Linked DNA regions of Arabidopsis thaliana. The protein of the gene in region 3 interacts with the protein of the main gene of each other region in a pairwise test. Each region holds a gene or a part of one and is shown on either strand. Other genes may lie near its edges. The genes, in order: KEA1, DGD2 and NAC089.

Region 1 (3,753 bases), on a different chromosome or scaffold from region 3:
CTACCAAACACTGTCGCGGTCCCATCTGGATTAGAAGAGAAGAAAGATGCAGAAAAGAAACGGGAGGATTTATTAAACGATGCCTTGGGAGAATTAAGAGAGGAACCCTCCTTTGGCAGATCTTTTTGAGTTTCCTGTTTTTTTGTCTGAACATTAATCTTTGGCTTTTCAGAATCTGCTTCAACCACTTTAGAAGACTCTACACTTGGCTTTCCATTCTCATGATCGCTTGACTCATAAGGCTGAGTTAGTTTTTTATTCCTCTGACCAACTATATCAGGCACAAGTTCAGCTGTGATCTGTACCACTGGTAGATCTCCATCTTTAGGTGATTCTTTTTCAACCTGATGGGTAACATCTTCAACGTTACCTGAAAGTACCATCGCATCCTCCTGAGAAGTTTCTTCATCCGAGAGTTGGCCCTGAGTTTCCTCTGGGGTCTGAGAAATGGAGAGAGACTTCTCTGCTCTCTGTAAAGCAATCTCTGCATCATTAACGCGTTGAGTAGCCTCAAGCTCAAATGCTACAGCTTGTTCAGCCAATTTCATAATATTGGTAACATCCTCCTCGGCTTTCAACGAACTGATCTGTATTGTCTCAGCGAACTCATTCAACTTGTCCACTTCCTTTTGCAGCTCGTCTTTTTTGCTCAGCAAAGCACTCAGTTGGGACTCACAATTATCTAAATTAACTTGGCATTCTTTAATATCATCCTTGGCAGCTAAAAGAGCTTCTTCTTTATCATTAACATCTATTGTTTCCTCAGTCTCTTCAGACACATGTGGAATATCATTCCCTGCACCAGCTTCAAGTGATTCCACTATAACCTGAAGCCTAGCTTCAGCCAGAGACAGGGCCATAGTAGCCGTTTGAACAGCTTCTTTAGCAAGAGCCTCCTCATAAACAGTATCTCGAATGACATCAAGGGTTTTGTTTACGTCAAGCCAAGCAGTAGCAGCTTCATCCTTGAGTGCTATGGCTCTTTCTGAGATTCTCTGAGCCTTTTCCTCAAACATGGTACTATTGAGCCTAGCAACTTCCAATTCTTTAATTGCCTTGTGTAGTAACTCCTTGAGTTCCTCCAAACTATCAGTGTCGTTTTCCACTCTCGCATCTTTCAAATCTGTAGCTTCAGTTTCATCACTACTTTCGGAAGATTCCCCGATCCGATGATCATTACTATCGGCATTACCCAGAGATTCATGACCCTGACAACGTAACCTAAATCCAAAAGGGATTCTTTTGGCTTGGTGGCCATTGCCAAGTATTGATTTTGTAGAATGCAAATGACCACTATAAAACCTTCCAGAGAAACACGCATTCATCAAATTCAATGTACCACTTTGTGCTACATTTCTCCTCAATCGAAAACACGAATGCACTTTAGAATCCCCAGATGTAATGCTGATTCCTTTAGGACTTATCAATCGATTTGGAAAGCAGTAACTCGCACCATCTCCACCATGGAATAGAATCGGCCTTTGAAAAGTAGACGCATACTCCATATCGGAAATCAAATAAAAAAAGTAGCCTTACTTTATTCCTCGAACCTTATATACAACTCCTGTGAAGCAAAACGAAATTCCACACATTCAGACGACCAAGATAAAAAAAATCAACGACAAGCCACGGACAGATAGAGAGGCTAACCAATCATGGAAAGTTGAGTAAGAATGGAAGAAAGGTGGAAACGGAAAGGAGTGGCTCTCGTCTTCAATTCCGTTCGTTTCAAACAGATAATTTTGGCTCGTCTCTTCAAATTTTCCCAGTCAAACAACTTTCTCTGTCTCCTCCTTTTTGAGTTTCTCGCCAACCAGACATCATTGCTAAGGCCGTTTTTAGATACTTTTACGAAAACACCCTCTCTCACCTAACGAAATAATGAATGATTCACATCACCCGATAACCACTTGGTTTGATCCGGTATATAAGTAGTTTGGTATCTTTGAACCGAACAGATATTACATCGAATATCATCATCACCATCGGAAAGCATATCATAAGCAGCACACATAGAGTGAAAAAACATCAATTCTTGCCTTTTTTTCGTGTGTAATAATAAATGTATAACGAATGAATTAAAAAAATAACAAAAAAAATCATGTCTTCATATGGAAACAACTCATTACAAATGAAATCAAATCTTTCCCCCGCAACAACATTCATTCAATCATTCACTCAAAAACACTCATGTAAGAGATATTCAAGACTCTGAAACGCCATTCTCTTCCTTGGCCTCCACGGCGACGTCTTCGGTAGGTTCCGGTGGAAGAGTGTTGCCTGAGGCTGTGCGACGGTGATTGGCGGCTTGGAGGACGTGAGCGTAGTTTCCTTTCTCCATGAAGAGTTGGTTAAAGTGATGTCGGCAATAGAGAACGCTATCTAAGGAGGCGTAGGAGGAGTGAGTCAGCGTACACCCACCGTGAGCGCACCGGAAACATGTCTTGTGGAAGCATTCTCCTTCCATTTGTATCTGTTACCAAATAACCCGATTAGAACCAAGCCAAAATTGATTCCACATTTGCTTGGACCAACCAACATCACGTTCTCAAATCGAACCAAAAGTATACTAAACCAAACCAAAATCAAAATTTTATTTCCATTTGATCTAGTAATGATTTTATCCGAACAGAAAAATTCTACGGAAATGAAAAAACAAAAAACAAATTCTAGAGCAAATAAATTTCTCTACGAGACTAGTTCGTTGGTATTTTAGGCCATGAGAACATTTGCAGATGCGTATACCACTAACCTTTTCAAGAGGGTAAACAGTTTTTTCGCAAGCGGCACACTTGTCTTGTGTTCCACAGAAGATGGAAGATATCTTGCTGGGAGTCCTAGTCTGTAATGTTTAAATCAGTACACAGATCCTATTAGTCGATCATAAAAGAAAGAAAATGAAATATTGACACGCTAATCATATACAAGGACATGTAATGATGAACCTACCAGCTCTGGCTTCTCAGTTTTTCCTGAGAAAAGAAAGAGACTTGTTATGATCATGATGATTTGAAAGATAGAGAGATTCGATGTCAGAGATTTTATAATACGAACCTGGTTGAAAGTTTTTGCTGAAATTGCCAGATTCCTTGAAGAGTTGCTCAAAATGAGTCTTGCAGTACAAAACTCCGTCCATGGAGGAATAGTTGCTCATCTGCCATCAACACATAGATAAATTGTTGATATAATATGATCATAGAAGATCTAACAAGAAAATGAGTAATGAGTGCACCTGAAGGGTTCCTTTGCAATGGGTACACCTGAAGCAAGACTTGTGGTAAGGCATTCCTTCAATGGACAACATGTCCACCACATAGACTGTCTTATCACAAACATTGCATTTGTCGAGAGTTCCTGTGAAAGACATTTTTTTTGTTTTATCTTTTTTTTTTTTGGTTTTTTTTTGGTTGTTGTTGTTTCCTTCCTTCTCCAAGATCCTGTATGAAACAGATTTTTTAATTTTTTTTCCAACAAATCAAGAGGTCATCTGAGGAATTAGTTAAAGAAGGAAACCTTTACCTCAGACAACGGAGGAACCTGCGAAATTTCTGTCCTCTTTTATATGAAACTTTGTTGCAATTGTGAGGTTGTAACGGAGGAAGGTTTTTTCCTTTTTTTCTTTCTCTCTCTCTCTCTCTCTCTCTTTGATCTTTTTTGCAAAATGAATGAGATAAAATTGGGTGGCAAAGTGATTGGAGTTGAGCAAAAGAAGGGTTGTGGTTTCTGACAATTTCAATCCAATAAGGGATTGTT
Region 2 (3,753 bases), on a different chromosome or scaffold from region 3:
AGTGAAGGGCTGCTCCTGGAGCTTCTGCTGTTCTAGTTTTCTCAACCCAATTTCGAGAAATTTAGGGTTGACGCCATGAACATTGCAGACTATAGATTTAGGGTATTCTTGAGTCGCAGCAGATAACCTGATTACCTGCAGGAGTAACATCATTGGTACAAGTCCTGATTCACATCAAAAGGACCGGCCATAATTGTGGTCACATTCCAACAAACTGTCTTGATTCTCAAATTAAACCCAGCCATTGGATATATTCACATAATTGAGCAATCACTCTATCATGTCCTAGTGGCTGTAAAGAAGAAAGAAGTTTACCTTGTGGCAGTAAATGCCAACAACCCAACTATTTAAGTATTTGAGGAAAAATGCTTTGACACGGCCTTGTTTCTCTCTTTTAACGTATTCCAAGTAGTTAGTGTGTACGATTCCTATGACGTAGTTGAACTTAGTTTTCCATTTTTGGCCATGATGAAACCATGTGAGATGCTCAGGCTCCTCGAGGACAGCAATGTCTGCCTCTTCATCAGGAATGGCATCAGATATATCCCCAACAGGAAGAATACTCCTTTTGTCAATAGCAAACTGCCATAAGATAAATTTGAATTGCTAAGGTTGGCACAACACAGTCACAGAGTACTACGTAAAAGAAATGGAAGAATTCAACTCTATATCACACGGAAATGAAACAATCGACTCTATGAAAGGAAGCAGTATGTGTTTGGTACCCAAAAGAAGATTCTTGAGAGTCATACCTTTCCAGGATAGAAACGTATCTCAAAGGCTAAACGAAAAGAGACTCTCTCCTCAAGCCACTGGCGGACATAAGCTTCTTGCTCTGACGGGGAACTAAAAGTGATGCTATTTGGGTAGACAAGCTTTTGGTGCTTCAAAGTCAGCCATGGAATCACCAACGTGACCCGTCTTTCCCCATCATTTGCAAGGTAGGCAGCACGGAAGAGAGGATTAACAGCAGTTCCCGTAAGCCATGGAATACTAGCTGTTGTAAATATCGCAATGTGTTGCTCCTGCTGATTAGTCATATCATCTCAAGCTAAACCTCTACAAATTATCAAACAAAAAGAGTAAACCAATAGATTCTTGTAATTGAGTTTGATCTGATTATTGCATCTTCCCAATAAGGATAACATTCGACTACAAATTCTTAATTTTTCTGCAAATTCAAACAATCTTTTCACACGATTCAAGCGATTTTCGATTACATCAAAAAAAAAAAAAAAAAAAAAAAATGAAGCCATACCTGTAAGATTCCAATTCAGAAACAATCTTTGAGTTGACAGAATTTATAAAAGCTGATGATTCGCGTCGAGTTGGGGCAAATAAGCAAACGTAGAAGGAAGAGAGACGAAACAATATTCTAGGGTATGCGTGAGAAGGAGAGAATATTCTCGGAAGATCTTCTTCGTTTCATTGTTTATACAAAATTAACAGACTGGTTGGTCTTCGCAGGATCCTCCAATCTCCAACATTCTTTTTCCGCCAAGTCTAGAACGAAGAAGAATCTAAAAACGACTTTGCGTGTCTAGACTACGTGTCGTTTCTTTTACATTTAAACATCATCAAGTTTCACTTTCAAAGTTAAGAACGCCGGGCTTTGACCAGTGTTATAGGGTAGGCCCAATTATTGACAAGCCCATTGCTTACTCAAACTGTGTGCCGTTTCAATCCCACAATTATTGATTGAAAACCAAACCTTAATTCCGAAACCATATCAACCGTTTTACATTGGTTTTCTCAAACCGAGATTTTTCTCCATAGAAAGAAGCAGAGTGGTAAAGAAGAGCACATAAGGGAATACTATCATGGGAGCATATGAGAATGAGATTCAGAGTCAAGCGTTAACCTAACACCTTCCTTGAAAGAAGTTGGAGAGAGCTCAAGTGTATGAATCAGTTTAGTTATGTCCATAGATATATCTGCTGGTGACACTACGCCACGATCAATCTGACAAAATAGCTGAGACTCATTAAGTGACTGATCTGCAATATTCAACAAGTGAGATTCATTTGTGAAAGCCTCATACATACCGATGATGCAGACACATGTTTAATCAAGGACAGGTCGTATCCTCTGACTTCTGCAACCATTTGAGCCATTTGAACACGAGATAGCCTCTCGGGTCCACCAGCATTCAGAACTAGCCGCATCTGTTTATCATCTGAAAGCAGCAACAACATGTTGTTATGATTCTACATTTTATGTACAATGATGCAGAGCGAGAGAATGAAACTCAGTAAAAAAGAATCTACCAGAGACCCATCTGTCTATTAATTTGAAAGTGATATTCACAAGATCCTTAACGTAAATGGGGCAACGAAACTCGTCATGGAAGAAGTCTACCGTGTCCCCTTTCTTTAAGGAGCTATCAATCCACTAAAACATAAAAGACGACCAGTTTCATGGCTAACTCAATGAACTCAAGTGTGTATATATATCTCTGAGAAATTGTGTTAAGAAGCACCTGAATTGGGAGAGTCTTGGGGAGAGGTGATACAGTTTGAGGACCAAAGATGATACTACTTCTCAATATTGCAAAGCTTTGACACTTATCCTTGATGAGAAGCTCTGCTGCAACTTTTGATTTCCCATAAACGTTGACTGCAACAGTCTCATCTTCTTCCTTGTAGAAAGACTTGACACCTTGATAAACTGAAATTGAGACATGAAAACCAAGTGCAAAAGCATAAGTCATGACTCATGATGAGATTAACACTATAACAGTGGCTAATGCAATTGGCAACTAACCTTGATCAGTAGAGAGATGAATCAACAAGGTTTTGTTAGTCTCAAAACTTGATAACCAGTTTACAAGAGAAGTAGGTACGTTGATGGACATGGCGGAATCTGGATCTTGCTCGCAAGCTCGTGGGACAGACAGAGCAGCACAATTCACGACCACATCAGGCTATAATCAATGGAACAAAGTGTTGCTTTTCAGACCAGAGAGTCTAATACACAGATTCACATGTTCATTTACCAAGCAATTCCTAGAGGAAAGAACATTAATCGAGCTAGAGATTACGAAATCGGAACCTGACGAAAGTCCTGGGATATGGAATTGAGCCCTAGACCGGATTTAAGATCGACAGGAAACGCGGGGGAATGAGGGAAAGCGTCGAGCAAACGAGCGGGAAGTGGAGAAGAATGGTGAGTGAAAGCGACGTCGTATAGCTCACATTCACCGCCATAGTTGCCGGCGAAAGCTTGAAGAAGATGCTGACCCAAGTATCCAGTACCTCCCACAATTAGCACTTTCGTCTTCTTCTCCATACTTTTCCCAAATTCCCCGATCCAATCACTCTCCGGTGTTTGCTTAATTTAAATTTTAACTTAAACATAGCACGATCACTGTTGGAATTTCCGGTTTGGTATTCTGGTTCGAGTTGATATTCTCCGGTTTGGAATGATTTTCGGTTAACATGCTTCTGCAACTGCATTAACAACTCTTCAAAGTTGGTTGAATCTCGAAACCATTTAAACCTTTTGGTATCAGAACAAAAATGGTAAAGCAGGAAAATGTAGAAGAAAGATATCATTATTGGCTTATTATTGCCAAAACAGTATATAAAGTTGTAATCATTATCATCAGAAATAATCGTAAGAAGTTGGAAAAATGTCCAAAAAAAAAAAGGAAAAGTACAGGTTGACCTAGAACTAACCCTGTTCTTGTTCTTAAGCCCTCTTTTTGGCATTGTTTTTCTTAAAACATATCACATTTTGAAGAAAAAAAGAATG
Region 3 (3,753 bases):
CAGAGCCACTACACCTATAATAACATCCCATCGTGCCTTGTTCACTGATTTGATCGAGTATAAACCCACGAAGCAGCTCGACAATGATTCCGTGGCGTCTTTTCCTTTCTTCTTCTGTGATGGTCTTTCCTCTAACAGTGATGACATTTGTTTGTCTATCATGTTTGGTAAAGGAAGTACCCTTATCTCCATTGATGCTGATTCTAGTGTTGGCACTTCGTTTGGTGTGTTCCCTGTCATCACCGCTTCATCGAGATTGATGATTTCGTCTCTTAGGATATCCGCAAAGAAATCCTCGTCATTATCCACCTAAACCACACACACATAACATTCATTAAGAAGAACGACAACAATCAAGAACCATCATACAACAATTAGAAGCCAGGTGACAAAACCTGTAGATTTTCTGATGACTCTGCCATCTCAGCGAGTAGTTTCTCCCCTGATTCACCTGCTAGGTAAAAATCAACCAAGTTGTCCCAATCAGACGGGCTCCCTGAACTCGTAGCGCCATTTTGGACTTTCGCATGCTTCTCGGCTGATGAATTTGGCTTTGGTGCCTTCTGACTTGTACCACTATTGTATTCTTTGTTCCTCCTAACCCGGCAAACAACCATAGCATCATCCTAGAATTTACATAAACATAATCAATCAACTCAAGCCAAAGACAAAACTCCTAAAATTTTACTGTATTCCTCTTAGAGACTCAAAAAGTAGCCAAAGTCACCACCTCTTATGTAATGGTTAACAATTAATCTATAAGAAAAAACAAACTCTCGAGAACAGTTTTACCAGAGATACTCCTTTCACGCAGTACTCGTGCATAATCCAGTCAGTTCTTTCGCCTTTTGGTGCACGACCAATATGGAAAACAAGCGTCCTCTTTGTTCCAATGACCTCAGAACCAGACTTCACATCACGCTCTTTCCCAGTTGCTTTCCAGTATCCCATCTTCGTTGCTCTCCTGTTCTGTGAACCATGTGGATACTTTTTCCCACGCGCACAGAAGAAGAACCACTCGCTATCAGATTTCACAATCGACTTATCTGCAAAGAACAAACACACAAAAAAAATTGTCAATTCCAATCCAAGAGCCAAAAAATAGAAACTTTATATCTTAGGCACCCAAAATAGAGATCTCTCCTGAAGCCTGAAGAACAACAAAATCAAATTCCAAGTAGAAGAAAGACACAAAAGAATCAATTGGTTCGAATTCGAAGACAAACCGGGTAAATCCCAAGGCTCGAAATTGTAAATCTCAAGGTCCGGTATAACCTCAACGGACCTCTCCAAGCCATCCATCTTCCGCTTCAGGTAATACGAAATCAACTCCACATCCGTCGGCGAGAATTTAAACCCAGGAAACACCGTCGACGCTTCCATCGACGCCGCCGTATCCTTAGAAACTCCAACCGCCTTCGTGTCCATGAAGGCTCGCGCGTATACAACAGTCGCCACAAAAAGAGCGCGTAAGAAATCGGCCACCGCCCAAAGAGTAAAATCCGGGAATTTTCGATAACCTGAAGGATTTTTCTTCTCAGTGTGGTCTCTTCTCACTTGCTCAGGGAGCTTTTGAATTGTTATTGGAACACTTCACAGGTGCACACATATGGGTTTTTGCATACGTGTTGCCAAGGCATTGCTTAATCTACGTGTGCATGCCACGTCACTAAACCTAGTTATATTATAGGTTTTATTTCATTTAGACCCTTAATGTTTTTACGTACTCCCAATTTACGACTTATTGTTTAGTGTTTTCAGATAAAGTCCCAATATATATCCGAAATCTTACTATCGATCAATCGCTCACAATTATATATCCCAAAATATCTTGTTCAGGATCTCGTAATCAACAAGCGTTACCTCAAAGTTTTTGTTGATTTGAAGCTTAAGGGTTAACCACTTATCATTACAAGAAAACTTATCCTTCTTGATGGATTTCAACTGCTCCACAAGACTTTCCATATAGTTAAGTTTAATCAAAAACTCATGTTCAAAAAAGCTAAACAAGAAAGGTGAATTTTCGCAAATCTCCCTCCGTAAAACCTCGTACGTCTTCGAAATAGTATTAGTAGTAAAATCTGTGGACTATGTTTCTGTGTCAAGGTACGACAGGGAAAACGAAATGTATGAGTGAACTTTATTGTTGTTTCCATGATGAAATGGGGTTACAAATTACGATCAAATTATACTCAAATCATTATTTGTAAAAAAACTAAAGTGATATTAACGTGGTTAACTCTGTTCTGTTAATTTTTTTGGTGATGTGAATCCAAAAATTACTTTGAAAGTTTCTCGTACAATTAAAAGTTTAAAGTTGATGATGAACGGAAACTATAAACAATCATAACAAGAAATTCTCCAAATTATTTCAGCAACAAATTTATATTTTGTCAAGATCAACAATGATCGATAACGATAATATGATTTAAGAGTTTTTTCATACCAAAACTCTTTAGAATTAAAAATCCTCCTTTCATAGGCCTTTGAACTAAAAAATAGAACTCTTCAACAATATTTTAGTCAAAAGCTAATGATACGTGAAAGAGTTCGATACCTTTTATAACACCATCCAAGGATATAGATCAAGTCTAAAACTAAGAAAAGAGATAAACATCTAATCTTCTAATCCTCATACCTTCGAAAAGTAAACAATAATTAATATTGAATGCTAACAAGTAACAACCAAAATATATAAACAAACGCTTTGTTTGGTTTTTAAGGTTGGTTTGTTATCGAGGGGGTATTTTATCTTTTGAATTTTGTAAAAAATCTATAAATATAGGTGATGATTTTAGAAAAAAATGAGGATTTTTTTACACATTTTGGCATTTCCCCCTACAGTTAAAAAGAGAGTAAAAATCAAAATATATATCATGTGTTGTACAAGTAAACACCTACCAACCAAGCCCATCAAGAAGATACTACTACTAGAATCACTCATTTCCTCTATATATCTTATTGGTGACAAACTGACCAGTCACCAATAAATGTCTCTAGTCACGGCGGCTCCTCCGGTCAACATCGATCAAATCTTTCCCGTGGTTGACGTATACACTTGCGATTCTTCCTCCATCGTACAATATGCATGCATATAAATACCAATATAGGTGATGGTTATTGTAAATGTTTTTAGAGAAAATGAGGATTTTTTAAACCCATTTTTCCCTTCACTAAAAAAGAATCGACACACAAAAAGAGAGAGTTTATAAAATACACGATAATATCAAAGTTAAACACACACCAACCAAGTAAACAAGATACAACACAATTGGAATCTTTCTTCTTTGACAAAAAAAAAAGGAATCTCTCTCTTTCTCTGATTCTCTCATGTCCATGCAACAAGAAACGTCTCACATGACGGCGGCTCCACAGACCAACGGCCATCAAATCTTCCCTGAGATTGACATGTCCGCCGGCGATTCCTCCTCCATCGTACGAGCTACAGTCGTCCAAGCCTCTACAGTCTTCTACGATACTCCCGCCACGCTAGGTTCGTTCCTGTTTTCTCGATTTTTGATTCACTATGGTTGGTGAGATCGCTTTCGATGCCTTATCCACGAAATTTTGTCAGATAAGGCAGAGAGACTGCTTTCTGAGGCAGCGGAGAATGGATCTCAGCTAGTGGTGTTCCCGGAGGCTTTCATCGGTGGATATCCACGTGGCTCTACCTTTGAATTGGCTATTGGTTCTCGTACCGCTAAAGGACGAGATGACTTTCGCAAGTACCATGCTTCTGCCATTGATGTTCCT

The links.
Region 1: the proteins of NAC089 (region 3) and KEA1 interact in a protein complementation assay, tested with the Arabidopsis thaliana proteins (one large-scale study listed by BioGRID).
Region 2: the proteins of NAC089 (region 3) and DGD2 interact in a two-hybrid assay, tested with the Arabidopsis thaliana proteins (one large-scale study listed by BioGRID).

What each region holds. Positions count from the first base shown.
Region 1 is NC_003070.9:282,533-286,285, reverse strand, and holds the start of KEA1 (K+ efflux antiporter 1), read right to left. Parts: upstream 1,937-3,753; 5' UTR 1,651-1,936; exon of another isoform or gene 1,565-1,650; 5' UTR 1,506-1,564; coding exon 1-1,505. Other genes in the region: PLIM2b (GATA type zinc finger transcription factor family protein), read right to left, coding at 2,204-2,473, 2,753-2,842, 2,950-2,972, 3,055-3,154, 3,233-3,367. UniProt on the Arabidopsis thaliana protein: Electroneutral K(+)/H(+) efflux antiporter involved in chloroplastic K(+) homeostasis and osmotic adjustment, especially during plastid division and thylakoid membrane formation.
Region 2 is NC_003075.7:238,980-242,732, forward strand, and holds the start of DGD2 (digalactosyl diacylglycerol deficient 2), read right to left. Parts: upstream 1,601-3,753; 5' UTR 1,259-1,600; intron 1,233-1,258; exon of another isoform or gene 1,060-1,232; 5' UTR 1,041-1,059; coding exon 753-1,040; intron 583-752; coding exon 316-582; intron 136-315; coding exon 1-135. Other genes in the region: AT4G00560 (NAD(P)-binding Rossmann-fold superfamily protein), read right to left, coding at 1,819-1,974, 2,046-2,176, 2,268-2,391, 2,480-2,667, 2,764-2,923, 3,052-3,288. UniProt on the Arabidopsis thaliana protein: Involved in the synthesis of diacylglycerol galactolipids that are specifically found in thylakoid membranes. Specific for alpha-glycosidic linkages.
Region 3 is NC_003076.8:7,376,071-7,379,823, forward strand, and holds the start of NAC089 (NAC domain containing protein 89), read right to left. Parts: upstream 1,707-3,753; 5' UTR 1,429-1,706; coding exon 1,227-1,428; exon of another isoform or gene 1,047-1,226; coding exon 793-1,046; intron 627-792; coding exon 396-626; intron 310-395; coding exon 1-309. Other genes in the region: NIT4 (nitrilase 4), read left to right, coding at 3,331-3,493, 3,575-3,753. UniProt on the Arabidopsis thaliana protein: Transcription factor involved in plant cell division.